3 linked regions of the Drosophila melanogaster genome follow. The protein of the gene in region 3 binds, or shares a complex with, the protein of the main gene of each other region. Each region holds a gene or a part of one and is shown on either strand. Other genes may lie near its edges.

Region 1 (9,999 bases), 1.9 Mb from region 3:
GACATCATCATAAAGCATTCCTCCATCGTACTCAGGATCGTTATCTCCGTACTCAGCGGCGATTTGCTTTCGCATCCGTTGTTGCTCAGCGAATTCCTTAACCTCTTCCAAACTGGGCTTCTTGGATGGCGGCGATAGCAGGCTTGTCTGTGCTGGTCTCTTGTTATTGTTATAACCCTTTCGCAGCTGCTCGAATGGTGACGTTGGCTCCTGCTTCACATTGCTACTATCTCCATACGGCGAACGATTTGAGCCACCTGATGTTCGGCTCATTGTGTTGCCAGTTGACCCGCGCTGTGTGTTGGCTCGTTGCGCGATGGGTGTGGCTACGTTTCGCGATTGCGGCGAAGGACCCAAGACGCGCTGTTGTGGAAGACCCGAACTGGGCTGTCCAACTGTGCGCCGGCGTATTCCCTTTGGACTAGGCGGCTAAAGAAAATAAAAGGTTACAAAATATTTTCACAAATGATGAATTGCCACCACTCACCCTTTGCTGGCGATTAACGTTCTCCATGGTGCGACGGTGCGCCTCTAGCAGCTTCAACAGCACCGTCATGTTCATTTCCTTGGCGGTGCGCAACAGCTTGCCGTACATTTTAAGCTCAAACTCCAGGGTGCCTGTGTACATGAAGTTGACAATGGGCACCACCACGTCCGCCTGGAACTCGTTGGGCATGATGAGGGCATCGTCGACGATCTCGCAGGTCTGCTCCAGTACATTGAAGTAGTCGGTGCAGGCGCTGAGCACCAGACGGTGTACCTTTAGCTGTGAATTGTCCCGAAACTGCAGCGTCAAATCGCAGTAATCCGTTTTATTAAAGAAGTTCTGCAGCTTCTGCAGGAAGAAGACTCCCCAGTTGTCCACTTTCACGGACTTGACTTCACCCATATTGCTGTGTGCTTGGCTAGTGGCCGTGCTCTCCGTTTCCGTATCCTTATCGTTAGCCTCCCCGTGGTTTCGCTTGCTCTGGCTTCAGGGCGCAACTGTACTCACGCAGGGGTAAGGAGTCGGAAAAAGCGTATTGGGATGGGACGCAGGTGAATGGGTAAAACAAGAAAGAATAACAATTAGTAAGTATGGTATATTCCGCTGTTAGTTTCAAATAGACGCCCGTTGATTTTGGGTTATTCGGTTTATTTTGCTCTGCCGCCACGGCGCGAAATGCAACTCGCAAATATCGATATACGCCTGTGTACGTGTGACAGTTTCGCGGGCGTATGTGTGCGATGTGCGCGTCGCCAGGCTTCTTGTATTATTTATCAGTAATTGTTCATTGTCCGCAATTCTGCAATGTTTTCTTGTAAGTCCAACTTTGGCATCTTTCGGTGGGTGGCATTTTTTGAGCCCTTTTGGCGCGCCTGTCCACTTCACACAACAATGGTTTTTTTGGGGCACGCACAAATCACTTTGACCTCAGCGGCTTGTTTACTGCGTGTCCTTTGATTGAATGTACTTTTTTCAGACAATCGCCGCACAATTGCACTTTTAATACATACATTTCTTTGAATTGCACACTACTTTTGCCGGACAAATTATAATTTTTTTCCAGAGTCAGGTCGCCATATTCTTTTCCATTCATCGTTGGCGTGACAGGGTTGCGCTCGGCAGCTATCGATAGCCATGCGATAACCTCAGTCTCATGCTTAACATTTTTAAGGTGACGTAAACGCAGATGAAGTTAATCGTTAAGTCTAAAAATATTTGAATATGATATACTTTAAGGTTATTGCAGTTTAAGCTAAATCTTACTAAACACAATACATATACTTAAAATACTTTAATAAATATTGTTTTGCAGTTGAAAACAAAATACATTTACTTAAACTATTGAAATTTTGAAAAGTGACATCGTAATGTGTCACATTTCTTGCGCCACCCTTCTTTGCAATCAAAATATATAAAACGGGTCGTCGGCTTGGCCACCACGAGACGTTAAAAACACTTTGATTCTTTTTTGCTTTGATAAAGTTTTAAACCAAAACATAATGAGTGGACGGAACCGCGGCAAAGGAAAGAAGGGTGGAGGAGGACCCTACCGCAATGTCAAAGCGAATCACAATTGTGCCCGCAGCTTTGCTCAGCAGGCCAACGAGCTGGCCAGCAGCAGTAGCAGCGAAAATGAAAGTTCCGACTCGGAATCCTCGGGAGATGGAGCCCAAAATGATCTCGGCCAGCCGCCGGAGTTTGCGGTGGCCATGTGGGACCTCAACCACTGCGATCCAAAGAAGTGTTCGGGCAGGAAACTGGCACGCCTAGGACTCATTTCAAATCTTCGACTGGGTCAGAAGTTTCCTGGCCTTGTCCTCTCGCCCGTTGGCCAGTTGTGTGTAAGTCCGCTGGATCGCGATGTGGTGGCCTCTTCGGGCGTGGCCGTGATCGACTGCTCGTGGGCCAAGCTGGACGAGACGCCCTTTGGAAGGATGCGCAGCCCACATCCGCGACTGCTGCCCTTCTTGGTGGCCGCCAATCCCATCAACTACGGAAAGCCCTGCAAGCTCAGCTGCGTGGAGGCCATAGCCGCCACTCTATACATCTGTGGATTCACGGAAGAGGCTCGCTGGTTTCTGGGCAAGTTCTCATGGGGTCATGCCTTTCTGGAGCTAAACGACAAGCTTCTCAATGCCTATGCAGCCTGCAAGAGCAGCGATGAGATTGTTAAGGTGCAGAATGAGTACCTGGAGAAGGAACAGCAGGAGCGGGATAAGCCTAGGGATCTTCGCGACTTCTATCCCACCAGCAGTAGTAGTAGTAGTAGCGAGACGGAGACCGAGGGCGATGATGAAGACACAAAAGCGAAACCGAAGAACTAATACAAGGTGCTGACATTTATTACCTTATGACAAAACATTTTACTTGTGTTTTAATTTACAATTTGGGAGCAAATTGAGAGCAACCACCGAATTATTGCAAACTGTTTTGATGAAATATTTACTTCAAGTCAAGAAAAGATTATTGCTTACTGTGCATTTCGCACGTACTCGGGATCAACGTTGATAAAGTTGCTCATGCTGAAAAATATTGAGCTGTTCTTTACGAGGAATTTAAGGAAATCCTGCACGTGCGTGAGTAGGTTCTGCATGGACTGCTGATCCAACGCAGAGTAGCTGAGCATTGAGCCAAGGCGGACAAACAGACGCAGCAGGTGAAAAGATCCGTAAAGCTCGGACAACGGTGTGTCCGGATGCTTCTGCATCACATCCGCGTACTGGGTGCGTTCGAATTTGTACAGCAACTGGGAGCCCAGCATTACATTGAAGTACTCTACAATTCCGTCGAGTACATCGTTTATGGCAACCTCCTTGCTGGCACTGGTCGATTTCACGGACTTCTTGTGCGCCAAATACTGCTCAGAGATCTGCTGCACGGTAACCTTGGCGGGCAGCTCCAGCAGTTTGTGCTCCCGCACCACCGCATACCAGTCGTCGGTCAGATAGTGCTTTAACTCGTCGGGTATCTTAATCTTGACCTCCACCTTAGCTGCGTAGGCCTCCTCGCTTTCCACACACGGTGCCGGCTCCGTGGTGGGTGTGGATGGAGTGGTAGTGGGCGGCAACGGCTTTTCTGCTACATCGCTTCCCGTAAGAGAAGGCCGTTGTTCGCTCATTCTTTTCTTTTTCGGCGCCACCGGCCCCTCTTCCTCAGTGGTCTCAGCTGCGGCGGGGTCTTCCTTTTTATCACTCGGCGTGCCAGGTCTTGCTGTGGATGGCGTCGATTGTGTGGACTTTCGGTGGGCCCGGCTGGTTGTAGAGTTGGCGGTGCTGTTAGTAGTCGTGGTGCCAGTGCTCCCGGCTTCCGATTTGCTTCCCGGTCCGGCGCTAGTTGTTGGTGTGCTGCTAGCGGTCGATTGCGAGGTGTTGCTATCCTTAGACGGCGTCGAGGCACGAGATTCGTTCCGCATCTGTTCCATTTTCTTGGCCTTGGCGCTGCCTGGTATGTAAACACCTTAATTTACAACTCCAGGAATTGCGTTTGTTACTGAACTCACCTTTCTTATTATCCTTCTTGGAGCGCTCGCCGCACTGGCGAGCCAGTTCCTGACGTCGCTTGACGTTGTCATCGTTGTACTTGAGGACTCGGTTCTCGGGCACCCACTCGTCCCAGCTGAAAATGAAATGGCTTTCATGCAGATCGGTGTTCATACTAGTAGCTTTGCTCACTTTTTACTCCAGCCCGCGTAGTGGATGTAGTACTCAACCGGCGTCGCATCGGGTTTTGTTTTCAGAACCTTGGCCTCGTAGATGAGCGGTCCGTGGAAGCACAGAACCCGTTCCCCTGCAAATGGCGCCAATGTGTTTAATTTGATTTATAGTTGGGCTTAAGTTATTGCCCTACCATCCACGAACAGAGTGTTTGCATCGGTCCCCGTGCTATAGTTTTCCACTTTAGCGGGTTTTACTTCTCCCATTTTATTTTCAATAATAGATAATTAACAAATCCTAGAGTGACCGTGCGTGACGCATAGGGCTATCGGATGGGACAGTACCGATGCACTTATCGATTATTTACAGGGTATTGTCTTGGTAGATATTAACAATATTGATTTATTTATGACTATGTACATCAAACAGTCTGTTTTTATGGGTTGTTTTCTTAATGATTTTGAAGGCATCAAGTCTAGTGCTTCGCTGTCGTCGGCTGATCTTCCTGCTCCTCCCAGGGACGTGGACCGCGTTTGTTCTCCCAGTTCTCTATGTCCACGGACTTGACTTTGTCGTACTCCGACTCCAACGTCACATCCTTGCGGTTTTTCATGCTTACGCCGTACTTTTTCATCTCCTCCGGCGTTACCGGCTGCTTCTTGGCGTACTGATACCTGTAAAGGGAGGAGACTCATGAGTTAGCTAAGGATTTCCCGGAGATTCTTGAATGCTAGCCTGAGGTTGGAGAACTGCTGCAGTCCAAAGGAGCCAGCCACCATCATGATGAGGAAGGGTATGCCATATTTGAACGATTTTCGTGTGCTGTAATAGTTTAATTTATCCACGAGAGACATTGTTGTTATTTTGTGTTATGACATTTTGGCACATGCGGTTACACTGCAAGTTGAGAACGAAGTGTGACCAGTTATATGATAATAAAAAAATTGGCGCAAAATTTGAACACCGATTTCTTATCATATGCAATGTAGTTATATTTTATTAAAATAACTTGGCGATAGTTTTAAAAATAATTGAATTTAAGCTAAACTATTAACAAGAATATTTAAAACATAACATTTTGTAATCGAAAAAAGTTATTTTCAATTTGGCACACAGCACTTTATTTTAGCCACACACACTAGGCGCCTATGTCAATCAATTTGTGCAGCTGGTGTCGTCTTTGAAAATAGTTGTCCTTGAATCCAAATCGAAAGATTTGTTGTCCCTGCCAAGTGCGAGCAAGTTCTGAATAATTGCAAAACATTGTTTTCCGGCGCACGCCTAATGCCCACCATTTGCATGGGGTTCGACGATAAGTTCAAGGTCCCCGCCGTCTCTTTGGTTTTCAAATAATTGACACTGACAATGTTGAAGAGCGCCAAAACGCTGTTCACATGCACACGACATTCGATCCGGATCACCTTGGCCAATTGCAGGCTTTGGCAAGGCAAGTAGCTCGCGGCGAAGATTTCCTTTTGCTGCCCACAGCTCCAACCAGTTCGCGATCGCTGCGGCTTCATTCACAAGGAGCCGGCGCCAATTGAGTCATCAGAGGCACCCCCCCCCCCCCTCCCGAGAGACTGGGATAGTCCCACACCCCTTTCCCAATAGATTATATTTCAGTTTGCAATGCACCCTACGCACAGTCTTTTAGTTGAGTGATTTGCCCAATGGGAAATAATATCATTACAATTAAAAGACCAAGGTTTTCATTTAGTATTGAACCTGATGAGCCTACAATGAGCTACATACCTAAGAAGTAAAACTTCTCCAACAACCCGTCACAAATAACTAAAATATATTTTTTATATAAAGCCAATTTCTGCCCGTGTAAACCAAACCCAGTCGTCTATGCCCCTCAGCCCGGATTAAACTTTTCCATACTATTTTCGCCAAATATGGTCGCGATTTTTCTAACAAGATTGCGCACTTGTCTGAGCCAAGCTGAGTGCTACACACTCATGAACTTATTTAATTCGCGTATATTTTGGAATTATGAAAACTTTGGTTTTCCATAACTAACACATGTCAACGGGTCGGATTCGATGGCCATGATTTCGTTTTCGTATTTAGCAAGTTGCTCAGACTGTTTTGCTATTTTACAATGTTTTTCGACGTTTTCTCAAGGGTCTTTTCCATGTCTATGTCTTCTTTGTTTTTTTTTTTCTTTGTCTTTATAAATATATTGATCTAGTTTTCTTGCTTCGAAAACTTTTTGTTTTTAATGAATACAATTACGTCATTTTGTGGGTGTTGTTTGAGTTAATTTTAAAATTTTCATCAACCTCGGACTGGCAAATGTTCTCCAAGATAAGAGAACAACAAAAAATGGAATAAGTAAATACATATATGTATATATGTTGGGGCTATCAAATTGGCTTATATTTATAGGTTTATATTTAAAGACTTTAGTTGCATTCGAACATATAAGATCTCCAACAATTTTGTTGGCGATAAGATTAAAAGGGCGTGATCAACGAGTAAGCAAGCAATCTAGAAGGGCAAATATGCATATCACCAGATCGGAAACTCAACGATTATGGGGAAACTGAATTTCAACCGTTTTCACGTTTGCAATTTAAAAAAGCATGAATCATGGATGCATTTTCTTGCGAGACAGTTACAAAAAAACGTATACTTTCATATGTGACATTTATGATTGCCAGCAAAATGTTTTCCGTTCGCAGACATGACGTTGAAAAATCTATAGAAAGAGCTTTAATATATAGAGCAGAAAATAATAATCTGTAGACCTATGGGGGAAATACGTACGTATAACTACGTGAAACAAGATTTTTTGGCATATCAATAACTGAAAATTAAAAATAGAAGTTGAGAACATCAAAAAGCAAAACAAAACGATCCCCAAACCAATACACTCTCATCGGGAAAAGAGACACGATTGCCTAAGTATTGGATATATTTTGCAATGGGCAAAAACACTGGGTGAAAAGAGCTTTTCAAAATACGGGGAAATATTCAAAAATAGGCTGAAAGAAAGGCATTCGATTCGAAATGAGTGAGCATTACCCATACATGTGCAGCGAACAGGTGAAAGCACCAAGGAAAGGATCGGAAAAGAGAGGCAGAGAGAAAGCGGAGAGAGAGCGCAGGCGCCGGGCTTGAATGTGTGTGTATAAATTGTAACTGTATTTGAAATTCTGATCTTATGCTTTCCGTTACACTGGCAGAAATCGGATAGGAACATAAATTAAATATATTACGGGCTGAGGGGTAAAGAAATGTTGTACAGCTTTCTTAACTGGCATAGCCCATTTCACTTTGGAGTATTTTCTGAATGAAAAAAACATTTAATATAATTTATAAATGAATTTCAAAATTCAAATTTGTAATAACAAAAGTAGCATGAGTAAATGATGATAAATGATAAGTGCGACATAAATTTATAAATACATTAAATCAAAAGTGCATATTAAATGTCCTGATATTAGAAAGCATGCATGATTACATTAAATATGAGTATATAAATAAGAACAAATGCACCCCTTTGTTGATTTCGCGCAGTGTATAAGCTATTGTACCCCGGCCGAGCAATTTACCGATGCTCTTGGGGTAAATTGAGAGCCAAGTGCAGTTCCAAAGTAGGCGCAGACAGCAACAACATATGCTCGCTTTTGGCCGAAAAGTGCGCACTCTCGCACACAGATACTCACGCACACAGGCGCACTAGCGCGGCGGCTCACACGCACACACACCAGCGCAAGCCGCTCGAAATCGACCAAGCGGCGAGCATCGAACGTCAACATATTGAATAAATATTTTCAGTTGAACATCACAATCCGTTCAAGTCGCGGATAACTCCGAATAAAAGTTTTGTAAGTAAAAAGGAATACGTTATCGTTGATCAGTAAAAAATTATACAAAAAAAAATACAAAGATATCGCTGAATATTTCCACAAAAATACTTGTCGAGTGCTTCAAAAATAATTTTAACTGTGCTAGAATTCGATTCTTATTTAAAAAAAAGGATCGAACCAAAAAGTATAATTACATAACCACAACGTTGCTGCAATATCTAACTTAAAATCCACCAAAGTGCTGTGCAATTCTCAACCCTAATCATCCGCAAGTATTGAAAAAAATTGAAAATTTTCCCAGTTAGAATCGAAATAAACCCAAATAGAGGTTAAGCACCTTTGCAGATCGCGAAAAAAAAACTAAGAATAACGATTCTGGGGACCTTGTCAAGTTTGTCTGCTAACCGCAAGTTGCTATATAGGGTTTCAGCTAAACGTATTTCATGAGATATATAAACATGGTCAGTGGGAACTTCGAACGATCTTAGATTTTAGCGGCAGAAGTAAAGAATTAAGGCAAAAGGAGGATTATCGAGCTCTCTTTCCTCCTTTCAGAAACTAAAATTGTCATGTTGTATATGAGAAAGTAAGGGAATCATTCTTAAGATAAAGATCAATGAGATAGACTTCAAGATAGCTATCCTTGCTATGGAATGGTTTCCTGAATTATAATTTTCTTTAATCCAAAATGTTTAGGAATTCATTGAGCCTATTTTCCAAGTAACTGGGCAACACGCGCATTTACTTTGCAGTTTTGTATCTTTGAAATCTGATCCACGACCGCTGGCCCTAGCTGCCAAATGAATCTGAAGCGAACGTAGGCGAAATGCGCCAAGAATTTCCCAGAAAGCTCCCTTCCTCTCAGCTTAGTATTAAGTAATATCCGTGGAGAGGCTAGATATTCAACAGATGCCTCGGCTGTCCTATTTTTAGATACAATCCGTGTGTGCTACAGATACTAAACAGTGAAATAGAGAGCAGGAAAGCTGCTAGAGTATCGCCCAAGGCATTTGGCTAAAGAATCTATATGCATTAGACCCATTTGAACCAACGTGTGTATATATCGTACTCTAAGAATAGAAAATTCTGTATTCTGTATGATTAAATTCCGAATTTTCCATGCGATAATTTGTAAATTTTGTGTGGAAAGGTAGATCTTATAAGGTCGGATACAGATGGAAAATATCTGTAACTTGTAAACTAGGCAGAAAAGTAGGAATTGCGAGGTGCCAGTTCATAAGGATGGCTTGTTAGTTGGCCATAGTTAGTTAGATATAAAAAATGAGTTATACATATACGCATTTTGTTTCCTGAAATATTAACTTTGTTCCTAATGATAACGTCATTTCTTGATAAGGATGATCTTAATACTCATAAACCTCTTTGGTGTAGGCCCATTTTTCGATTATATATATGTCATTGCCGAAAGTTATAAGATGTCATGGGAATTTTGTGCTGAATCAACGCAAACATAACTCAATGTGTCACCTTAATCGACTTATGGCCCATACACATGCAGATTTATATATATATATATATGTATATCTGTGTGTTTTTTAAGCGAACAAAAAATTTGCCTCGATTGCGTTTTCATTAAAATTCAACGTTTTTTTTTTTTGGCTTTGGCTTTATTCGATTGGCGCTTTTTTCTCCAATGCCACTTCTCTTCGGCGGATCAGGCACAGGAATGTAAACAGAGTTTTTAAAAATAAATGCATGTTTAAGGCAGAACCACACAACAAATGACAGCGATGAGCCGTAATAAAGAATTAAAATTTCACGCGGCGAAATTCGAGTCAATTAGCCGCCGGCTGCACTCGGTTCGAGCCATGACAAATGTTGGTCAAGTGGGTTTCGTGTTGGCCAGGAAAGGCAAAGGGGGTGTCAATGGGCACCAAGGAGGGGCCAAAAAACCCACCAGCTGCGTTCACATTGAGTCAGAAGTCTGGAGCTGCTCGAGAAAAGGGGCAATAGCCCAGTGCAGCTGAGTGATTCATCTTGGGTTTTTAATTCGAGGATGGTAGCTACAGCATCTGCACTT
Region 2 (10,025 bases), on a different chromosome or scaffold from region 3:
ATCGTGTTTTCCATTAAATATACAAATGAGATTTAAAATCAAATCAAAAGTATCGCGCTATTATGCAAGTATTGGGGAGGAGTCTACAGAAATGTACACACAAATGCAAGAAAACTATGAATAAAAGTATAAAAATATTTGAATCTATTGTTTGCCTTCAAAATGCAGTTGGAATTGTTAAGTTCAGTTAACACAATAGAGTTAACACTTCGCGCATCGCCACAAAAAACGCACTTTAATAATTACAATTACAAAATTTCAATGGTAGAACTTTTCACAAAACTCTCATGCCGTTGTAAACGAATTTAAAAATAATGTTTTCTCAACTTGGAGAAAAATGTTTAAACACATGTTTTACAACAGAAAATTTCTCGTGTCTTTCACTAATTTATCAGTATCGAGGTTGAATTTACTAGATTGTTAGTGTACTATCGGCATCCACAAAGATTTGCTCGTATTGCTTTTTCTTAATTAAACTTGACGAGAAGTTGTTGATAAATGTGAATGACTTCTTGAGTTTCGACTTATAGAACATTTTCCGGTTTTTTAACTTTTTGCGAAAAATTAGGGCTTCCTTCACTATTTACTATGACGCGTATTCTGTTTGCATCTGCTGCAGCTGCTGATGATGTTGCTGTTCGAGAAGTAAGCGTTCCTGACGCTTAAAATCATTTGAGCTTGGCGTATGCGTCGACCTTTTTGTGAAACTGGTTGTAGTACTCCAGGGCGGCGTTACGCGTCTGGTTCAGCGCCTGATTGATGTTCTCGGGCGAGAGACGGCCACTAAACAAAGATCACAATCATAAGGGATGCATTCTCAAAGACAACAAAGGCCAGGCAGGCAGGCATACTTACACAAGCACCTTTTCCTTGATGAGCGCTGCAGCCTTTTCATAGCTGCTGGCGGCTAAATCGCTAACGCCAGCGGCAAAAGCTTCGATTTTGCCAGACGAATTGGGCACGTATTGGTCAATCTAAAATATAGATGGAACGTATTATTAATTCAAAACTGGTTTGCCCATGACCTCATCTTCATGGCGACTAAAAGACACTTACGAACTTTGCCACAACGGGCCATTTGGCGCCAAAGTATCCCTTGCCGTTCTGGTAAGCGTTGCAGGCCGCATTCCTCGCCAGCTTCCACAGGTCACAGGTGGTCTTGATCACCGGCTCGGCGTACGGCGGCACATTCACTTCCGCCCACTTGTAGCCCCGCGCTCCGGCCCCCATGACCGTGTACCAGGACTTCTGGACATGCGGCAGGACTCCGGCATTTTTCAGCACCTTGCCGGTGGCCGATTTCTCGAACACGCCCTTGCCGTTCACCTCGGTATCGTAGTACAGAGCTCCGGCAATCAGGGCGATGATGAAGATGCTACCCAAGGTCCACTTGCAGCATCCGCATTTCTTTTTTTCTGCCGCGGCCTTCTGTTTGTTCTTCTTCTGCTGCGCGCTGCTCTTCTCTTGGACGCTCTACATAGTACAAAATTAGAAAATTATTAAGAATCTTAATTGCTGGGGATAGTTGATATTGTGGAATCATTTGATTGAGTTCAATTTTTTACCTTTTTGGCGGCCGGCACTGGTTTGCCGCTCTGTTTGTTACTTTTCGGTTTAACCTGAGCCATTTTCTAACTTAATTTCAATGAGTTTCGATTATGAAGAGTATTTCTAGATTTCCTCAGCTGTTCGCAAAAGATGTTTAATTATTTATTGTGTTTATCATTGCAATTGTGTTTGCTAAAAAGAATGACGAGACTTTTTGAGCTTTTAAACTGAGCTTTTTTTGCGACTGAGCTCGATGACCTAAGATTTAAGAGTAAGCTAAAACCGCGAGTGAGGATGGGGATAATTAAAAATTGGAAATACGTAGTTATAATACCATTTTGTCCAGATTAAAAACATTTATATTCAATATGCAGGCTATGCTTAATTGGTGTAGATACTTTTTTTTCAATTTTTAGGAACACTTGTATAGGTTTTGCACAAATTTAATGAAGAAAACATGTATTCATTCATTGTGATGGTCTTCAAAATTAGATATATTTACTAATTACTTTAAACGTTGAAAATGAATGAACTAATGAACTAAATACATTAGTCATAATGATTATGAAAAAATGTAATCTTTTTTAAATTTGTTACTTTCACCATTATTTAAAAATAACACACCTTGTCTCTAAATTAAAGTATCATTTACACTCACAATAGTTTCTTCTGTGGACAAAAGAGTTGAATGAACTATGCCCTCTAAATTTCGTCTGTTTTATGCTTTCGGAGTGAAAGAAAGAAAGAATGATGGAAGGCCAGCGAGAATCAGGGTCACAGTGGACATGCCACGTGTTGAAGCAGCCCAAATCTTCAAATGGTTCTCTTTCGCCCCCCTTTTTGGACCATAGAATTCGGAATCGTGGCGTTGCGAGATTTTCAGGTGATAGTGCGAAACTGCACCACTGTGCAATAATGAGAGTGAGAGTGCGGAGAAGAGGCGAAGAGAGGAGGAGAGTGCGCACAAGCGGGATGTGAGAGGGGAGTGGGTGAGGGAGCAGGAGGCGAGTGGCCAATCGCAGCTGGAACACATCAGTCAATAGGAAAATAAAAATAAGCCTCAGATCAGCCGAAAATTGGGTGTACTGATAAGAATGTTGGCTGATAATGCGGCAATTTATGATCCCCGATGGCCATGCCCACTCTCTTTTCGAAAGCAAAACGTCTGCTCTGCTCGGAGAAATTTAGCGGCAACTGGAACCCGCATGGCAACGCTATGGGAAAAGTGCAGCTATAGCTGCCACCAATACCAGTGCAGAACGGCGGAATACACAACCGTTAATACTGACACGCACACATATGCACGAAACGCACTTTGCACTACTGCAACAGCAACAATAATTGCGACAACGCGATAATTAAGGTGCGGACCATTAATTTATGCTCACTCCAGGCTTCAAAAGCCAGTTGAATAGCGGAGAAATTTCGGACGAACGCCGGCTAACGCTTTCCATCTCTTTCCCGCAGCGACGTCGCGTTGGCAGCGTCCTCCTAAAGAACTCTAACTTCATTAACGGCTAACAGTTCGGCCACTTCTACGTGAAGAGTTTTACATTAGTTAGCTGCAGTGTAATAAGCTCATATCATTCTTTTTAGCACCGATTGCAATAAATTATTCACTTTTAGACGGCAGTTCTACAAGTTTATACCTTCGTTTTTCTTTTCACTAAAGCAATGTGACCAGAGTACGTAATGTACTAAGCCAGACCACTTAACTTAAACAGTGTTACCAGAGGTGTGAGAAAATTCAAATTTATAGTGTTTCTGATTTCATTTAAGTTTGAATAATAAGTTTGGGTTAAAAAAGCTAACAAAATAAATATATTACCTATATACTAGTTTTCCAATAAAACTATAAAAGATAAAACAACACACATTCAACATTCACCTTTTATCGATCTGGGATCAGAGCCTTATGCTTGGAATCGAGTGATATACTTAAGTCGCACTCACCAACAAAACCTCCTTTAAATCATCTAGGTGACCTTCGTTTCTCTTGCTTCCCTGCAGTTCTTCGTTCAGATTCGCCACATCTTGCAGAAAAGAGTGATACACAGTCGACGTAGCCAACTCATGGGTAGACGTGGTCCAATTGTCGTCTAGGAAAAGATAGAAATTCAATATTAGATAACACATTAACGTTAAGTGTGGGTGGTACTTTTAAACAAAAATCCAATTAAATGAATTTTCACAGCTGTAGATCGTACTTATAGCTTTCAGAAGCAGTAGACTAGGCAACTGTTGCTTCTTGTAGTTCATGCGCCACACCCTGAGGCAATCATCTCTGCCGCTGCTGAGCAGACAACTAATACAGCCTTCGATCTCATTAGTCTGCTTGGATCCGGCGCTTATTTCCCGGAAGAGCGTAAGGAATATGTTGGCATGCCTCACAGGACTGTTGATATAGTGTTGCTACACACAGGAGGAAGAAAGGTCAGTGAAACAATGGGACAACTATCAATTGTTTTCGTCCTTACAAGCAACAAACGCGCACTACGCTTCAGACTTTGCTGCCATTCCTTGGGCAGGTGGTTATAGGGTGCATTGAGCGCATTGTAAGTGGCAAAGAACTCCTGCTGGTTGATCTGCAGAGGATCCGCTGTCTTCCGGACAGCTGCTGCACTCAGAGCCCGCTCCATATACTCGACCACAAACTTGGTGTACTGCTTTAGCTCCAGGTTGGGCAGCATCAGGTTCTGCCACACGCGAACGCCCTCGTTTAGGGACTGATAGCCACCTTGTCCAATTGCCCACAGGATGCTCAGGCAGATGTTGCTACGGTTCTGATAGGAGTTCCTTAGCAACGCAGTCTTGGCCAGGTTCCTAGAACAAATGTTCGGCCAGTTTTGACCGATCAACTGTAGGATGAGCTTGTAGCCTGCCACTGTCTGATTGTTGTTTAGATCCGTTGACATGCTATCCAGCAGGGAGTAGAAGAAATACTCCAGGTTTTGTTCGCCCACACTGCCCAGAAACTCCACAATTGAGTACTTGAGCGAGGCGCTGGCCAAATTGCTGGGATACTGAGCCGAGCGGCCGGAGAAGATGGGATCGCAGTCATAGGACAAGGCTTCATTGAAGTATAGCGCAATCTGGGGGACAACGATAGGTGAGCAAATATTTAGGCACATTTCCTTTAGAAACATACATGGCTTAACCAGCGCAGCTCGGAGCCAGGACAACTGAGCTTCACCTGCTCCAGTTGGGCAGCAAAATCATCCCGGGTGATGTTTCTCAAGGCCAGCTCCAGAGTCTTTGGCTTCGATGCGGCTGCCGACGTGGTCCTTTTTTGGGTAGAGGCATTCTTTGCGGTGTGCTTTTTAACTGGCGACTTATTGGCTTTTGAGGAAGATGAGGCACTTGAACTAGATTTCGCAGGGGAATGGGACTTGCTGTTGTTGTTGTTGCTGCTGCCGAACAAATTGCGATACCGCTGAGTTGGCACTGCGAAGTGAATAAAATGGCAGGGGCAAACATGTAATCGCATTGCAAGGTGCACCTTTTAAAAGATTCTTACACAGCTCCTCCAGTTTGGGCAACTGGGCCGCGATGCGCTTCTGCTCGTTGTGTGCAGACACCTTCTTGTCCAGATTCTTTTGCTTGCGCGACTTGGAGACCACCTCCCATTGTTCCGACATGTTGCGAGCAGTCTTTTTATCGATGGTATTAAATTAAATCAGAAAATGCAGGCAGCCGGCAGAATAAAAAGCAACAAGCCAAGAGTGTGGCCAGCGCAAGTGTAAAGTAATGTGGTCTACTTTCGGTAGTTGAATTACCGACCGCTTTTTAATGTGATTTTAAAGCAGCTGCCTGCTTTTTGTTGTGATACATGTAATAGATAAATAAATAAATTTAGCTATGTTTTAAATGTGTTTGAATAACTGCCAATGCAGGAGAAACCATTTTCTTTACCAGGGCTGAAACGCATACCAAAGTTGTAAAGCCTCTGCGATATATACTATGTTTGCTACATTGGTCACACTGCTCTGCTTGTTTACATTTACAAATTGTAAAATATTATTATTTAATAGCTGCTTTAAATCATAGTTTCTATATATAAATAACAAAAATGGCTGCCTCGCGATCACGGCGCAACAATGCCGGCAACAAAATAGCTCATTTGCTCAATGAGGAAGAGGAGGACGACTTTTACAAAACGTCCTATGGTGGATTTCAGGAGGACGAAGAGGATAAGGAATACGAGTGAGCACTAATCATTTGAATAAATTTAAATGCTCAAGCCATATAAAATTCACTCTGCAGGCAAAAAGACGAAGAGGAAGATGTGGTTGACTCCGACTTCAGTATCGATGAGAACGACGAGCCCGTTTCGGATCAGGAAGAGGCGCCCGAGAAAAAGCGGAAACGCGGTGTCGTTAACACAAAGGCTTATAAGGTGCGAACCATTCTTAAAATGCGATAAAATCCTGTGATTACTGAATGTGTTTAAATGGTACATATGATTTCCGCAGGAAACCAAGCCTGCAGTCAAAAAGGAAACAAAGGCAACGCCGGCCCTGCACAAGAAACGACCTGGTGGTGGGGTAACGAAACGGCGGCCACGTCCACGCTTCACGGTCCTCGATTCCGGCCGCAAATCCATACGCACTTCCACGGCCATCAAGACACAGGCTACCAAAATACGCCTCAAAGAGTTGGACGATGCCCGCAAGCGCAAAAAGAAGAAGGTGCGCGTGGAGGACTACATGCCCACGCAGGAGGAGCTGCTGGAGGAGGCCAAAATAACCGAGGAAGAAAACACTAAATCTTTGGGTGGGTATCTAAAGCAACCAAGGAAGCAGCTATTTTACAATTTGCTGTTGCATTCACAGAGAAATTCCAGAAAATGGAGCTGGAGAAGAAGAAATCACGTCCCACCAAGCGCACGTTCTCCGGACCCACGATACGCTACCACTCACTAACCATGCCAGCGATGCGAAAGCCCACTCGCGGAGCAAACCCTGCGGTCGATTCAAAGGATCTTGCTGGGAAGTGCGAACGCACATTCGTTACAATCGAGAACGATTTCAATGACAAGGTGTTTCAAAGCCTCTTCCGCCACAAGGCGCCTCCCAAAGCCAGCAATGGCATCTGTCCAATCACCAGGCTGCCAGCCCGTTACTTTGACCCGATCACACAGCAGCCATACTACAGCATCCAGGCCTTCAAAATTCTGCGCGAAGCCTACTACATGCAGCTGGAACAGCAAGGCGGCGGCAGCGAGCAACCCGAACTGGCCAAATGGCTGGAATGGCGCAAGCTGGTCAAGGAGAATCGTCTGAAGGCTTCGGCAGCTGCCAGCAAAAACGGAGATAACTAATAATGCTATCAATTTTATAGTTCATTAAGCTATACGTATTTTTCGAATAAAAAGGTATAAGAAATCACAAACTACTCTTTGGACAACCCTCGTCAATTTCAGGCAGTACCAAACGATTACCTAATATATTTCATACAATGGCGACAATGGAAAAGTAGTACATAGGGTATTTCCCAAAACGTTATCTTTAAAAAGTATTTATAATCAACGCACAGTCTGTTTTGATTTTATTTATCAGCAGCATCCGGTTTATTAACTTAAGAAGTTGATAAAACAGTTTACACAAAAGAAAGTTTATCTTGCTAATCCAATTTGTATATGTAAAACCCATTTATTACCTTTTAGTATCTAATTTTAATTGCCGCTCTATTTAAAAGTTTAGTTGTCTAAATAATAAAAGCGTCGCAGTCTTCTATTAAGATTATTCAAAAGAATTGTTTCGCTTAATTTGCGTCAAATTGATAAGCACACAGCCTCTCTTTGCAATATATAACAAAATCTGGAGGAAATGCGGTTGTTCCGACACACAATAACTAATTAATAAGTATGAGACATTACATCACATAAATTATTAACCCATTGTATTCTCTATTTATAATCTATGGGCGAAGTATTGTTCATTTCCGAATGAAATTGTTTTTCAATCCTAAACTCTTACAGGGAATTAGTTGAGTGGGCCCTGCCGCAACCTTGTCGCATCTGTATGTTTTTGTCGACTTATCAAAATCAACGCACGCGCTGGCTATTTGAATTGTCGGAACGGGAACGGGACAAGGTATTGTGTGAGCAAGATTTAGTCATACCCGTGAGCTTAGATCAAACGAACGTCGTGCGTTTAAACGGAGAAATGAAGAGCTGTGCGGCGATTGGAGTCCTTCTGGTACTGCTACTTCAGTACGAAGTGGTTAGGACGGACAGCGATAGCAGCGACAGCAGCAGCAGCAGCAGTGGAGAGAAGAAGCACAAGCACTCCAAGACGGAGCACAAGTACAATTATCCTGCATATCCTAATCCGGGCTATCCTCCGTATCAAGAAATGGGAGGCTATCCTTCATATCTCTACAATCCGTACATGCCGTATCCTCCGTATCCTCAAATGGGAGGCTATCCTTCATATCCCTACAATCTGTACATGCCCCCACCACCACCACCACCGCCACACCCGCAACAAGCTCCGCCACCATCAATGTATCCACCCGACCCGTCCGGATATCCAGGCGGCTATCCACCGCAGGGGGCTCCCGGACAGAATCCAGTTAACAACCCAAATGCGATCCCCAATCAGCCTCAGGCACAGCAGCCTGCCAGCGGCCCGGGATCAGGGCCTGCCCCGAACTATCCTCCAGGCGGCTCGAGCGTTATTAATCATTCCCTTAAGGTCAACAAGGAATACAACGAGGACGGTCACCACCAATCTTCAACGTAGTCGCAGTCGAGATACAATGTTACATGAAACTTTAAACGTCGGATTGGGCCTCAAGTTTCAAGTCGGCCTTCAATACAATGTAGCAAAGTCGAATTAAAGATTTAAACAGTACTTGGAATTTTCACAATTTTCACAGTCTTTGATTAAATAAAAGAAAGAAATGTTCTCTTACCATTGTAAATAAAGACATTACTGAAAAGGTAAAACGAGATATTTTAGTATCACATATATTTCATAATATAAAAGGTACTTGAATATGTTTTATACACAAATGTACAAAATCATGTATGTACATATTAGGCAGTCTACTTTTCCACTATTGTGCTGTGGTTATACAAGTGCACGTGGTAGACGTAGCTGTTCATGCATTTCTGGATACTGAGCACTAGTGGGTCAAAGGGATGCCAAATAAAGGCGCACAATTCCCGTGGCGCCAAAGGATTTAAATGCCGGCGGGCCGTAGCGTGCAGTCTAAACTTGATTGAATCCGTGGCACGGTCAAGAAACACAATAGGATCGTTGCAGCAGCGATGGGGTTGCTCCAGAGGAGACACGTACCGACTGTCGTATCTAAATTCGTTGAACTTTAGATAGGGCGACGAGGAAAGGCTCTGGGAGCTGAGTGGAACGCTGGGGTTGAAGCGCAAGGCCGTATGTCGATCGACGGAGACCGATTCATTGGAATCCGCAAAGGTATGCCTTAGGAAAAAATGCATGGGCAATGAAGGTGCATCACCGAATTGCAGCGATCGATCATTGCTCATGTAGTCATTGAATTGCAGTAAGATTTGCAGCAGGTTGACGGAATATTCCGGATAAACGCCAACCACTTCTTCGCCAGTTATGGTGTAGAATACATACAAGCGGCGCGGTGATGTAGCCATGGGCATGGTATCGGTACCATTTGGCCGCTCTTCATAGCGCAACATTAGAAGTTCATTGTTCACCAGATGCATTCTCTCCATGATCATGTGTTCTATCTAAATGAGATATGTAAGGATGTGAAGACCGTTGTCACTCTTTATAATGTTACTTACATACTCAAAGTTTTTATAAAACGACTTCTGACTTTCCGTCGGGTTGCCACTTTTATCATTAATTTTACGGTACAGAAAGCTAAGGACGCGCTGTTTAATGTGCGTTATGGGCAAAACTGTGGTGGCGTCAAGATTGTCAAAGTCTGTGGTAGCCTTCTCGATAAAGTCCCTCGGCCTGGGACCAATAGTCTCCTGCTGGTGGAACTTACCGTCATTCACCCAATAGACGTAAACGCACTGATGCAGCCGGGACATCATCATCACTGTTGAGCCAAACACGGAAATTCCATGATTGTGGGCAATGACGATGGAGTCGTTAGGCAGGATAAGTCTATCTGTGACGACGCCTAGCTTCAAATCCACCAGAAAGAACACATACGAGAAGGCGTCCACTTTGTCGAACAGATCTGGGTACCGTACGTAGTCATCGACCGGCAGTGCGCCGCGCACAACGGTCATGGCAGCCAGCATGGCATAACGACCCTCTTCCAGGAACACACTGAACTCCCGGTGCAGATAGTAGAGGCCAAAGTCGCCTTGGCATAGATTCAGCGTCTCTTTTGTGGGAAACAGGCGTTCAAAGATCCTGCTCTTGAGTATGGTGTCCTGGCTACTGAAGCACTCGCCACTGCCTACATCCGCCTGGCGAATCAGTTCACCCACCGCCGCACAACTAGAACCCCCGTAGCTGTAT
Region 3 (10,771 bases):
AAATCGCAAGAAAACTTGCTAAGACAATTTGTAACGCCTAAAAATTATTATTCTGATAATTCGCTTGAAAATACAAGTGTATTTCCTGAAACAAACTATGATAACCGAAGTGATTCCAATAACGAGACTAACGCTGATGAATTCCCTGGAATAGATGATGATGAACTTGAGAATGATTTGAGTTCCAATTCCTCCGAGCCAGAAGCTATTATCGAGGAATTTTTTCGGGCCAAGTTCGAGGATAAATTCCCACGCGACCTCAGTGGGTGTCCTCTCACAGCATCGTTTCGTCCATGGGAACCATATATTTTTCGCAACAGCGAGGAACAACCCGTGGATGACTACTACTACGGTTTGCAAGGGGATGAAGATGACTACAACGACACATCTCCAAATTATGGCGAATCGGACGACGAAAGCTATGCTGATCCAGGGGAGGACGGTGATGGAGCCATTCCAGACACAGAAACTCAATCCGGTGGAAAGCTCAAGTTGAGTGGAATCGAGTACGAAATGGTGCAGACCATCGCCGAGCGTCTGCACGTTAGCATCGAAATGCAGGGCGAAAACAGCAATTTGTATCACCTTTTTCAGCAATTGATCGATGGGTAAGCCTGATTAATATATATAAAATATAAGGTCCCGTACTCGGTCCCGTTTTTTATTTAATAAATAATTAGTTTATGTTTTTATATTTAATCGCAGTGAAATAGAGATGATAGTCGGAGGAATAGATGAAGATCCGAGCATCAGTCAGTTCGTTTCCAGTTCCATTCCTTATCACCAGGACGAACTCACATGGTGTGTGGCCAGGGCAAAGCGCAGACATGGGTTCTTCAATTTCGTGGCCACTTTCAATGCGGATGCTGGCTTTCTGATTGGAATCTTTGTGGTTACATGCTCTCTGGTTGTTTGGCTGGCTCAACGCGTATCAGGCTTCCAATTGCGGAATCTCAATGGATATTTCCCCACCTGCTTGAGGGTGTTGGGAATCTTGCTTAACCAGGCCATTCCGGCACAGGATTTTCCAATTACATTAAGGCAGTTGTTTGCGCTTTCTTTTCTAATGGGCTTCTTCTTTAGCAACACATATCAGAGTTTTCTGATCAGCACACTGACAACTCCACGTAGTTCCTATCAGATCCACACTCTGCAAGAGATCTATAGCAATAAAATGACCGTGATGGGCACCTCCGAGCATGTCAGACATCTGAACAAGGATGGTGAGGTGAGTTACTATCCCATTTTCGATCATGGAAATTAATGGGAATTCATTTTTAGATCTTCAAGTACATACGCGAAAAGTTTCAGATGTGCTACAATTTAGTGGACTGCCTCAATGATGCAGCTCAAAACGAACATATCGCCGTTGCTGTTTCCAGACAGCACTCTTTTTACAATCCCCGAATCCAACGAGATCGTCTCTACTGCTTCGACCGCCGAGAATCCCTGTATGTCTATTTGGTTACCATGCTACTGCCGAAGAAGTACCATTTGCTGCACCAGATAAACCCGGTGATTCAGCATATCATCGAATCGGGTCACATGCAAAAGTGGGCACGCGATCTGGACATGCGACGCATGATCCACGAGGAGATAACAAGGGTGCGAGAAGATCCTTTCAAGGCTCTCACCTTTGATCAGTTTCGCGGAGCCATCGCATTTTCCGGGGGACTTTTGTTGGTTGCCAGCTGCGTCTTTGCCTTCGAGTTGTGCTACGTTAAATATGTCTATCGCACTGAAAAAAGGGAAAGGAAAACGAAAAAAATCACGAAAAAAGTTCATAATATTAAAATTCAACATGATTAGAAATTGAAGTGGCGAAAATGACTTTGGCATTTCTATGATAATTGACATGCAAAATAAATAAATAATCAAAAATCGAGAAACGGGTATAGCTACTTTACAAAGTAATAACAAAATCATTTCTGCTATAATAAAATCTTAAAAGCCCATATAGCATCTATAGCTGCATATTGTATTCTTTACATTGCACATACATATATATATTGATCACGCATACGCCCTGTATAACCAAACATGTGCATTGAATTAAAGGCATTAAATGCATATTAAATATTAAAAATATCGAAATAATGCTTGAAGAGATTCATAAATATGCTTGCATATTAATATTTTCTTGGCACAATATTCAATTTAAAAATACAGCTTTGCCATACACCGTGTAATGCAGTCTACTTGGCCGCTGCACAGTAAGAAAATGCGTATCATTTTGATTTAGATAATAAAAGGCGAATTTCCCAGATGTCCCAAATGTCAAAATTCATCTAAGCTTGATAATAAATGTTCACTAATTTATATGTAAAGGTTTTTGATTGTTTGCATCGGTACTTGTGGCTGGTAGAGGGTAGAGATAGCTACTTGAGTTTTTCACTGTTGCACAAACTCTTAATATTTTTCCTCGTGTTCCGTACTCATATCCGTAGTAGCATCCGCAGCCGTAGCTGCTGGCGATGCGGCTGGTTGTCAGAAAGGCAAACAAGCGCGCACGCCGCCAACGTCAAGCTGTCGTCGGCATTCTCCTCCGTTGTTTGGCGCATCCTTAAAAGGTGGTGGTGGCCCAATGCTCGACCTGGTATGTTCTTTTTTGTGGTGGCCTGGCTGGTTGGCTGGTGCCTCCTCTTCGGAAGACGCTGCCACAATCAAATATATGTGATTTTCTCAGATTTTTATAAATAATATTTTCAGGCAGCACATTTGTTGCAGTATCATCAAATTGGCAGATTTGTGTTGTTGCTGGCCAACACAATTCAATCAGCTGCTGGGCAGCTAATGTGGGCCGAAAAATTTCACAAAAAAATAATACACAACTGTTAACATATATTCATGTTTATTTTTATATTAATGATGACCAGCTAGGCGTTGTGGCAAACCAAATGAATGGCGCCCAACAAGGCGTTGTGAAAATGTTTGCCGATTACTCAGCTGATAGCGGGGAAAACAGAGTGAATGAACGCATATATACATATGTGGGAAATTCTATATTATTTATGGAAAGTAACATCATTAGTGGGGATCATGGAGATTGAATACAATATTTAATAAAAGTTAAGACATTTCCAGTAGGTACTAGACACGGTACATAATCATTTCTGTCAAGAAATTGTATTTCCTCACCTGTGATAATTGGCCACTCGCATACTTATCTAGATTTAAATATACAAATTTCGTAAGTTCCTTACTAAAAATAGAATTCCAAACTCTAGATACGTTTCTACGCGTAAGCGTCCAAGAATCTCTTGCAAAAACGTGAGAGCGCACGGTTTTCATTTAAATTATTTTTGCTTTCCCCGACTTTTCCATCTCATACACGGTTTTCCCACCCACACCAACACTCTCAACGAATTGAGAGAATATGTGTAGTGTAAACAACAAACGCATTTTTCCGTTTGTTATTATTTTTAAAAATTCTCATAGCACCATATAAGTCTATTAAGAGTTTTGATCATTAACTGAATAGCTTTCAATGATCTCGTTTGTGATTGATGAGTGTGTGCCAAGAAGAAAAACTCGAAGAGAAATGTTAATGGCCAAATAAGTTGGGGCGTATTAATTAATGTCAATTTGGCCAACCGAAAAAATCTGGCAAATCTATAAATGCACTATTCGCTCTATTAACAATTTTCCGTTTGTGTTTATGGCTTTTGGGTCCCTAACCAGCTATCCCCAAAACCAACAACCAACCCACCCACCCAGAAAAACAGCCCACACCCAACAAATTATGGCCGAGAGAATGCGGCGGTATATAAGTTTTGGTTTAGTTTTGAAATTCTTATTTCTAATTGCGAGTGCGTTCTCATCATCGCTGAGAGATTTCCATCGCAACCATGTATGGATTGGGCCAACGTGCAAATGTTGATTAAAAATTAGACAAAACAAAAAACGAACACGCCACCCATACATCTGCAGACACCTCCGCAGCTGCAGACAAAGATATAGCAACAGATACAAATACATATAAAGATAACGATTCGGATTCGGATGGAGAGCAAACATTACGCCTACGATTGGGATGCTCCGATCCGGAGGATCTTCTCGGGTGTGAGTGTCTGTGTGCCATCGCGATGTTGTTTACCAAGGCGCTCAGATCCGTCTGTTTCTCTGTTTCTCAGTCGATATTACACAAAGAGAAAATGTTGAAAGCTGTGACCTAAACATCACCAAGTTCACAAGCCTTTACTTAGCTTTAAACCAAATAATTAAAAGTATTAAATATTTTTCTGGCATATTTACTTAATAATATAATAATAATACTTAAGAAGTAGTTTGTGGTATGATATTTTAATATTAGAAAATCATTACACAATAGAAAATAGGTACAAAATTGATTATTTTCATTCCATCATATGCGCTTTACAAAAATCTATATTTTCTCATAACATATTTTGAGCCATCTTTCCTGCAGTGCACCATCTGGGAAATTATGAACGAAGCGAGCAGAAGTCCAAAAGCAAAAATCCAACGAAAACAAATTATTTTTAAAAGAAACTCAGAATCTCCCCCCGCCGGCGCAATGTGCATCCATGTGCACATGTGTGCCGAGAGGCGATTGAGTGTGCGTGCGGAAAATATCTAAAACGACTGAGGGTCGCCAGAATGGTATAAATATTAGCGCATCTCGGTCCAGCGACCACTCGCAGTTCTACAGCGAAAGTGTTGATTTGGATTTCTAGTTTTTCTTCGTCTAACGGTTAGTATACTCCACATCCACCAATTCCGTCTGTCTGGTTGACTTTTACCCAATCCGATGCTGGATCCAGTGTACAGTGCCCAACTTTCTGAAAAGAAAGATACTTTGGAAAGATAGAGATCTCAACAAACAACATATTTGACAAGGAGCAGAAAAAGTTTAATCAACGATCCTTAAATGTTTGGTTTTTAATAGTGACTAATTTTTGTTTAAAAAAACATTCTTTAAAATGTTAAAACTGAAAAATATTAGTTGTTTGATCTTAAATCAAAAATTATAATTAATTAAAACTTTTATTAAAGTATGTAATATTTTCAAAAGTTGAAGACAGCCCTTTTTTATTAATTTTAATGATTGCTCCTCTGCAAAGATACTCTTTCTTTTAAAGTCATACATGTTCTGAGGCAACACCTACACGTATTTCATAATTTCACACTTACACACAAGATTACAATTAAAATCCATACCCAATCCGAATACCGAAAGCCCACTTCTCACTTCTCCTTCTAAAAACCGCCTCCGTTCTCGTTGTTGTTGCAGTGAAAACAGCCAGTAGCCAAGATGTGTGACGATGAGGTTGCCGCATTGGTCGTGGACAATGGTTCCGGAATGTGCAAGGCAGGATTCGCCGGCGATGATGCGCCCCGCGCCGTCTTCCCCTCGATTGTGGGTCGTCCCCGTCATCAGGGCGTAATGGTGGGCATGGGACAGAAGGACTCCTATGTTGGTGATGAGGCCCAGAGCAAGCGTGGTATCCTCACCCTGAAATACCCCATCGAGCACGGCATCATCACCAACTGGGACGATATGGAGAAGATCTGGCACCACACTTTCTATAACGAGCTGCGCGTCGCCCCCGAGGAACACCCCGTCCTGCTGACCGAGGCCCCCCTGAACCCCAAGGCCAATCGCGAGAAGATGACCCAGATCATGTTCGAGACCTTCAACGCACCCGCCATGTATGTGGCCATCCAGGCTGTGCTCTCGCTGTACGCCTCCGGTCGTACCACCGGTATTGTCCTCGACTCCGGTGACGGTGTCTCCCACACCGTGCCCATCTACGAGGGTTACGCCCTGCCCCACGCCATCCTGCGTCTGGATCTGGCTGGTCGCGATTTGACCGACTACCTGATGAAGATCCTGACCGAGCGCGGTTACTCATTCACCACCACCGCTGAGCGTGAAATCGTTCGCGACATCAAGGAGAAGCTGTGCTATGTTGCCCTGGACTTTGAGCAGGAGATGGCCACCGCCGCCGCCTCCACATCCCTGGAGAAGTCATACGAGCTTCCCGACGGACAGGTGATCACCATCGGCAACGAACGTTTCCGCTGCCCAGAGTCGCTGTTCCAGCCCTCTTTCCTGGGAATGGAATCGTGCGGCATCCACGAGACCGTGTACAACTCGATCATGAAGTGCGATGTGGACATCCGTAAGGATCTGTATGCTAACATCGTCATGTCGGGTGGTACCACCATGTACCCTGGTATTGCCGATCGTATGCAGAAGGAGATCACCGCCCTGGCGCCGTCCACCATCAAGATCAAGATCATTGCCCCACCGGAGCGCAAGTACTCCGTCTGGATCGGTGGCTCCATCCTGGCCTCCCTGTCCACCTTCCAGCAGATGTGGATCTCCAAGCAGGAGTACGACGAGTCCGGCCCAGGAATCGTCCACCGCAAGTGCTTCTAAGCGATCTAAACACCACAGACACTGCAAACCACACGGGCATTGAGACCCAACCACACCACGCCACAGAACACCACACAACAACAACAAGAACAACATGAACAGCAACAACCAAATACCAAATCAAGATCTATAGCCTAGTGCTATTGATGATTAATCTTAAGTTAAAACCTCTTGCTGCCCTGCCATCCAAAGAAAACCGAAGGAACCGCGATTGTAACAGCATGTATTATACTTATATTAATATTTATTGGAGAGCCGCTTGATGGCGCTGAAGGAGGAGTTGAGGAGACACAAGAATGCAAAATTTTACAGTTTTAAAAATAAATTATACTAGCATCCTCTATAAATTAAATCTAAATTTTAAACGAAACGTATCTTTTATTCGCTGCAAGCGGCATGCTATGCGATTATTTTTAGCGACGCACAGGAAATTACGAAATTTTGCACGCCCACTGCAAAGAGCGAAATCTGGAGGTGGATCTCCTCGACTGGGGTGCACATACATATGTACATATGTGGCTGGGGATGAGCACGGTAATCCCAGCATAGACGCCTCCAAGACAGTCCATTTTTGCCCATTGCCAGTCGGTGCAGGAGCTGCCCCCCTCGTCGTGGATCTAAAAATACAGACCAAAGGAAACAACAAAAGCGGCAAATCAACATGCCGAAGTATTAACAAATGTCTTCTAAGACTACAGTCAACCCACAGTAGATTGAACAAATATGTGACTTTGAATGTCAGAATATCAACTTTAAAGGGATTCGAAAATATATATTTTTAAAACTAAACTAATTAGGAATACAAGAGCTCGCTGAAAACAGTCTTCGTTCAAGACCTAGTTAAGTATATTTTAGGTATGTTCCACTGTAACAATGTGTGAGATGGCCGTTTTTTTGGAGTTAACATAGCCGCTGGGAGAAGCGACCGCCGGCTGTCTTTTAAATTGCAGTGCCACGACCTCGGGGGCTGCAAAAATATCTTGGAATTTCAAGTACATTTGTGTGGCTGGTCCGGGACGCTTGTACTTGAAGATCGAGCAGACAGACGACACCAGGCAGATGGGCCTCCTCGGGACTCGGGATTCCTGGAATGGGGTGCCCAAATCGAAAATAGACGAGATACGGGTAGGGTATGTTGTACTGTATACATGATGCATAAATGCACTTTTTATTGAATATTTTATACATTTAAATGCTTCAACATCGTTGCTGTATGCTTAGACAAAAAATAATTGAGTGGATTGCTTGCACTTAACATTTCGTTGGTGTGTGGTAAGTCATTTTTTCGGTTCTGGGACCCCCGGCGGACAATACATTTACAAAAATACTCGCACAATTACATTCAATTCAGCTCATTTCGATTTGTATACTTTCAGTCAATTTTGTGGCTGCAGTTTAAAATTTCGTTGTTCTTAGTGGTCTGCTAGTTGTTAATTGGAATACTGCACATTAAACGGTCCTCACATCTCTTAGCTATAATATAAGCCTAGTATATTAAGCAGAACGCCCAACATCACGTTTTTATTTTCTGTTAAAAATCCAGTCTATACACTTACAGTTAGCGGTTGAATACTTTATTAAGTACACGGTTTAGCACATTTCGTTCCTCGATATCGCATCGGTGTATATGATATATGTAAAGTATATAAATATAGATCATTAAGGCACATTTAGGGACAGTATGCTTTTGATTGGACCTGCTCTCTCATTGTCTTTTTGTCGTTGCTCTCGCTTGGAATGCTTAAAACTCGTCTAAGTTTGTCTACGATAAAATACGAATACGTTACGTCTGCCTAAATTTCCATAGCTACCGATTATAAATTAGAACATTTAGCTTATACGCGGAGTAGGGGTTACTGTTAAACAATAATTACAACTGGGTTGTAATAACGGATTTTCGAATGATGGCCGACTCGCGTCCCTTGGGTGCCGATACCACCTCCGAGGAAACCAGCCAGGGCGATACCATGTCTTTGCTGTTGCTGCTGGACGGAAACGGAATGCGACTGCTGTCCGGATAATTGCTCGGAGTTTTCTGTGCCAAAGATCAAAACGAGTGTTAATACGGCAGGTCAAGTGGGTCAATGGCCTTAAAATGGTTAGTGGAGTGCAGATTGACATGAAAACGAAAAAAGGCGAGACAGACATCTGCGGCAAGCCGCAGCTCATATACCCTTGCAGATGATTATATGTTTACATCAGCTTATTATTATGTGATTCGACTAGGGTAGGTAAAATTGTTGTTTTCTAAATGAATTCAAATGATGAAGTCAGGAAGGGGCCTTCATATTAAAAAGCTATTTTAGGTTATAGATCCGATCACAAATTTGTTTTAAGTACTAAAGAAAAAATACTTGTTGTACCTTCTGCAAGAGTATAGCAAAACGTTAGTTAATAGTTGAGGCCAGTTTAAAGACAGACAGTAAAAGCGTAGACATAAGCTCGCAGGTGCTCAAACCTTTTCACTCGGCGGCGCATCGACTTCACTGTGGTTTTGATTCAGATTTAGACTCTGATTCATCTGCTGGTTGGTTTTCTGCGATTCCAAGCGCTCCTGTTCACTGAGCGTGGAGAAGAGCAAGGTGCCGGCACTGGGCGTCGAGCTGCCCGCCGGCTTGGCAGCAGTTTCGGCAGTGATACTGCCGCTGGCATTATTGTTTATGATGTTGTTAATGAATATTTCATTAATGAGTATTTCGGCGGCCGAGGCGTTGCTCAAAGCGGGAGCCACTGACTCCGAGGCGGTCGTGCTAACGGTGGCGGTGGGGCTGCTGGGCGTGCTGATGGTGGTCACACTGGTAAGGGTTGTATTGCACCCGCTTCCGGTATTATTCAGATTCGCAGGCAGCGACGACGGCGGAGTGAGTGGTGCACTGAATCCAGACACAAAGGTGGCATTACTATAGGGTCCATTTCCATTGGTGGTGGTGGTAGCGGTGCTCGAAGTGCTGGAACTACTGCTACTACCCGTCGACGGCTTCTGTTCCGGTATGCTGAGCGTCAGCTTATCGCCTCCCTATTTTTGTGGTTTAGCAAGCATACAGACACAAGCACATGGAAACAACACACGCAATACCACGGATAAACATTAAGTGCGGACAACGAATGGAAATAAGAACGTATAAACAGAAGGCATGAAACGAGTGCAATGCAGTGGGCTTAAACTGGTTCGCTGGCCAACAACTTACCACTGATATGTAGGTGGCGTTCAGGGAATCCGGTCCATCGCTGTGTGCATGGTTGTTGCTGCTGTTTGTGTTGCTCGTGTGCATGTTGCTGCTGTGGGCGGCCGGTACGAACATCTGATTGGTAAGCTTGGCGTTGCCTCCGGCACCCAGCTCCTCCTCAACGCGAGCTGCAGGATTTGTTAATTAATATTTCCTTAGTATTAAGCCAAAGAGAAAATGCTTGCAAAATATGTAGGCGTGCAAGAGCTTTTCAACCAATTAAGTTGGTAAACTCACCCTTTAAAATATTGCACTTGATGTTGCCAGGCGGCAGGGCCGTGGTGTTCACATTGGCCAGTTTCACTTGGTTATTGGGTTTCTCGTTGGCGTTCGAGAGGCGCTTCAGTGTCTCCGTGTTGTGGTCCATGTCGAAGGTCTTGTTGATAGTCACCCTGCCAAAATATCACACTGCCGTCAGTATATTTTTTAATATCTAAACATGGGTTACGCTACCTGATACTGTTAGCATCATTAATGGCTTCGTTTGCTAGCACTGATGGGGATGGATCTTTGACAATGGACTTAAGCAATGAGTCTAGCTCTCTATCTTTATCCGACAAGCCGCTCTTAACACTGCACAATGATGGACACAACACAGAAAGACAGATGAAAAACAAACACAGAAACAGGCGAATTAGTTAATCGGGACGTTAAAGCAATAAATATATATAAGGTACAATGATAGTATAAATACACCAAAGGTTTACCTGAGCTGACCGGAGCTAATGGAAGCCTTGCCAAAGCTGCCGTGGTGGGAGCTCGTTGCATTTCTAAATGGATTGGTTTCATCAAAGTTCTTAGTGGCGTTCGGTGAGTATGGTGGTGTGTAGTCTGGATCCAATCTTAAAAAAAAAGTTACATTTAAAAAGGGAACGGAAAGGTAATTATAGATAAACTTCTTACTTCACAGTCAATCCTGACGCCTTGCCAATAGATCCAATCTTGCTGTACGCCGGATCCTCGTTGCTGAAGTTGGACTTGAGGGAGTTGCGACCCAGCGAAGCAAAGTTGGCTGCTGCCTGGGATGAGGAGCTGATGGAGCCGCTGCAAGCCGCATCCGGTTCAATAATGGCAGAGTTTTGAATGACAGTAAGCACCGAAGGCGAAGGTGTAACAGTGATGAACTGATCCGTGGAAATGA

The links.
Region 1: Act87E (region 3) and MRG15 share a complex: the UniProt entries of both Drosophila melanogaster proteins name them as parts of the tip60 chromatin-remodeling complex.
Region 2: Act87E (region 3) and YL-1 share a complex: the UniProt entries of both Drosophila melanogaster proteins name them as parts of the tip60 chromatin-remodeling complex.

The regions. Positions count from the first base shown.
Region 1 is NT_033777.3:15,273,628-15,283,626, forward strand, and holds MRG15 (MORF-related gene 15), read right to left. Parts: upstream 4,483-9,999; 5' UTR 4,407-4,482; coding exon 4,334-4,406; intron 4,274-4,333; coding exon 4,159-4,273; intron 4,103-4,158; coding exon 3,987-4,102; intron 3,944-3,986; coding exon 2,958-3,943; 3' UTR 2,813-2,957; downstream 1-2,812. Other genes in the region: Cp190 (centrosomal protein 190kD), read right to left, coding at 1-429, 488-889; CG4338 (uncharacterized protein), read left to right, coding at 1,987-2,811; l(3)neo43 (lethal (3) neo43), read right to left, coding at 4,616-4,814, 4,876-4,994. UniProt on the Drosophila melanogaster protein: Part of the Tip60 chromatin-remodeling complex which is involved in DNA repair. Upon induction of DNA double-strand breaks, this complex acetylates phosphorylated H2AV in nucleosomes and exchanges it with unmodified H2AV.
Region 2 is NT_033779.5:10,964,937-10,974,961, forward strand, and holds YL-1 (YL-1), read left to right. Parts: upstream 1-5,506; 5' UTR 5,507-5,617; coding exon 5,618-5,751; intron 5,752-5,811; coding exon 5,812-5,944; intron 5,945-6,020; coding exon 6,021-6,321; intron 6,322-6,380; coding exon 6,381-6,868; 3' UTR 6,869-7,157; downstream 7,158-10,025. Other genes in the region: Tmem214 (transmembrane protein 214), read right to left, coding at 669-783, 856-974, 1,057-1,473, 3,502-3,647, 3,756-3,960, 4,026-4,640, 4,697-4,992, 5,066-5,186; CG16743 (uncharacterized protein), read left to right, coding at 7,572-8,294; abo (abnormal oocyte), read right to left, coding at 8,600-9,274, 9,332-10,025. UniProt on the Drosophila melanogaster protein: Part of the Tip60 chromatin-remodeling complex which is involved in DNA repair. Upon induction of DNA double-strand breaks, this complex acetylates phosphorylated H2AV in nucleosomes and exchanges it with unmodified H2AV.
Region 3 is NT_033777.3:13,421,332-13,432,102, forward strand, and holds Act87E (actin 87E), read left to right. Parts: upstream 1-4,651; 5' UTR 4,652-4,711; exon of another isoform or gene 4,712-4,847; intron 4,848-5,115; exon of another isoform or gene 5,116-5,251; 5' UTR 5,252-5,272; coding exon 5,273-6,403; 3' UTR 6,404-7,044; downstream 7,045-10,771. Other genes in the region: Ir87a (ionotropic receptor 87a), read left to right, coding at 155-608, 706-1,228, 1,282-1,809; yrt (yurt), read right to left, coding at 8,274-8,438, 8,862-9,419, 9,592-9,758, 9,868-10,022, 10,084-10,203, 10,338-10,472, 10,534-10,771. UniProt on the Drosophila melanogaster protein: Actins are highly conserved proteins that are involved in various types of cell motility and are ubiquitously expressed in all eukaryotic cells.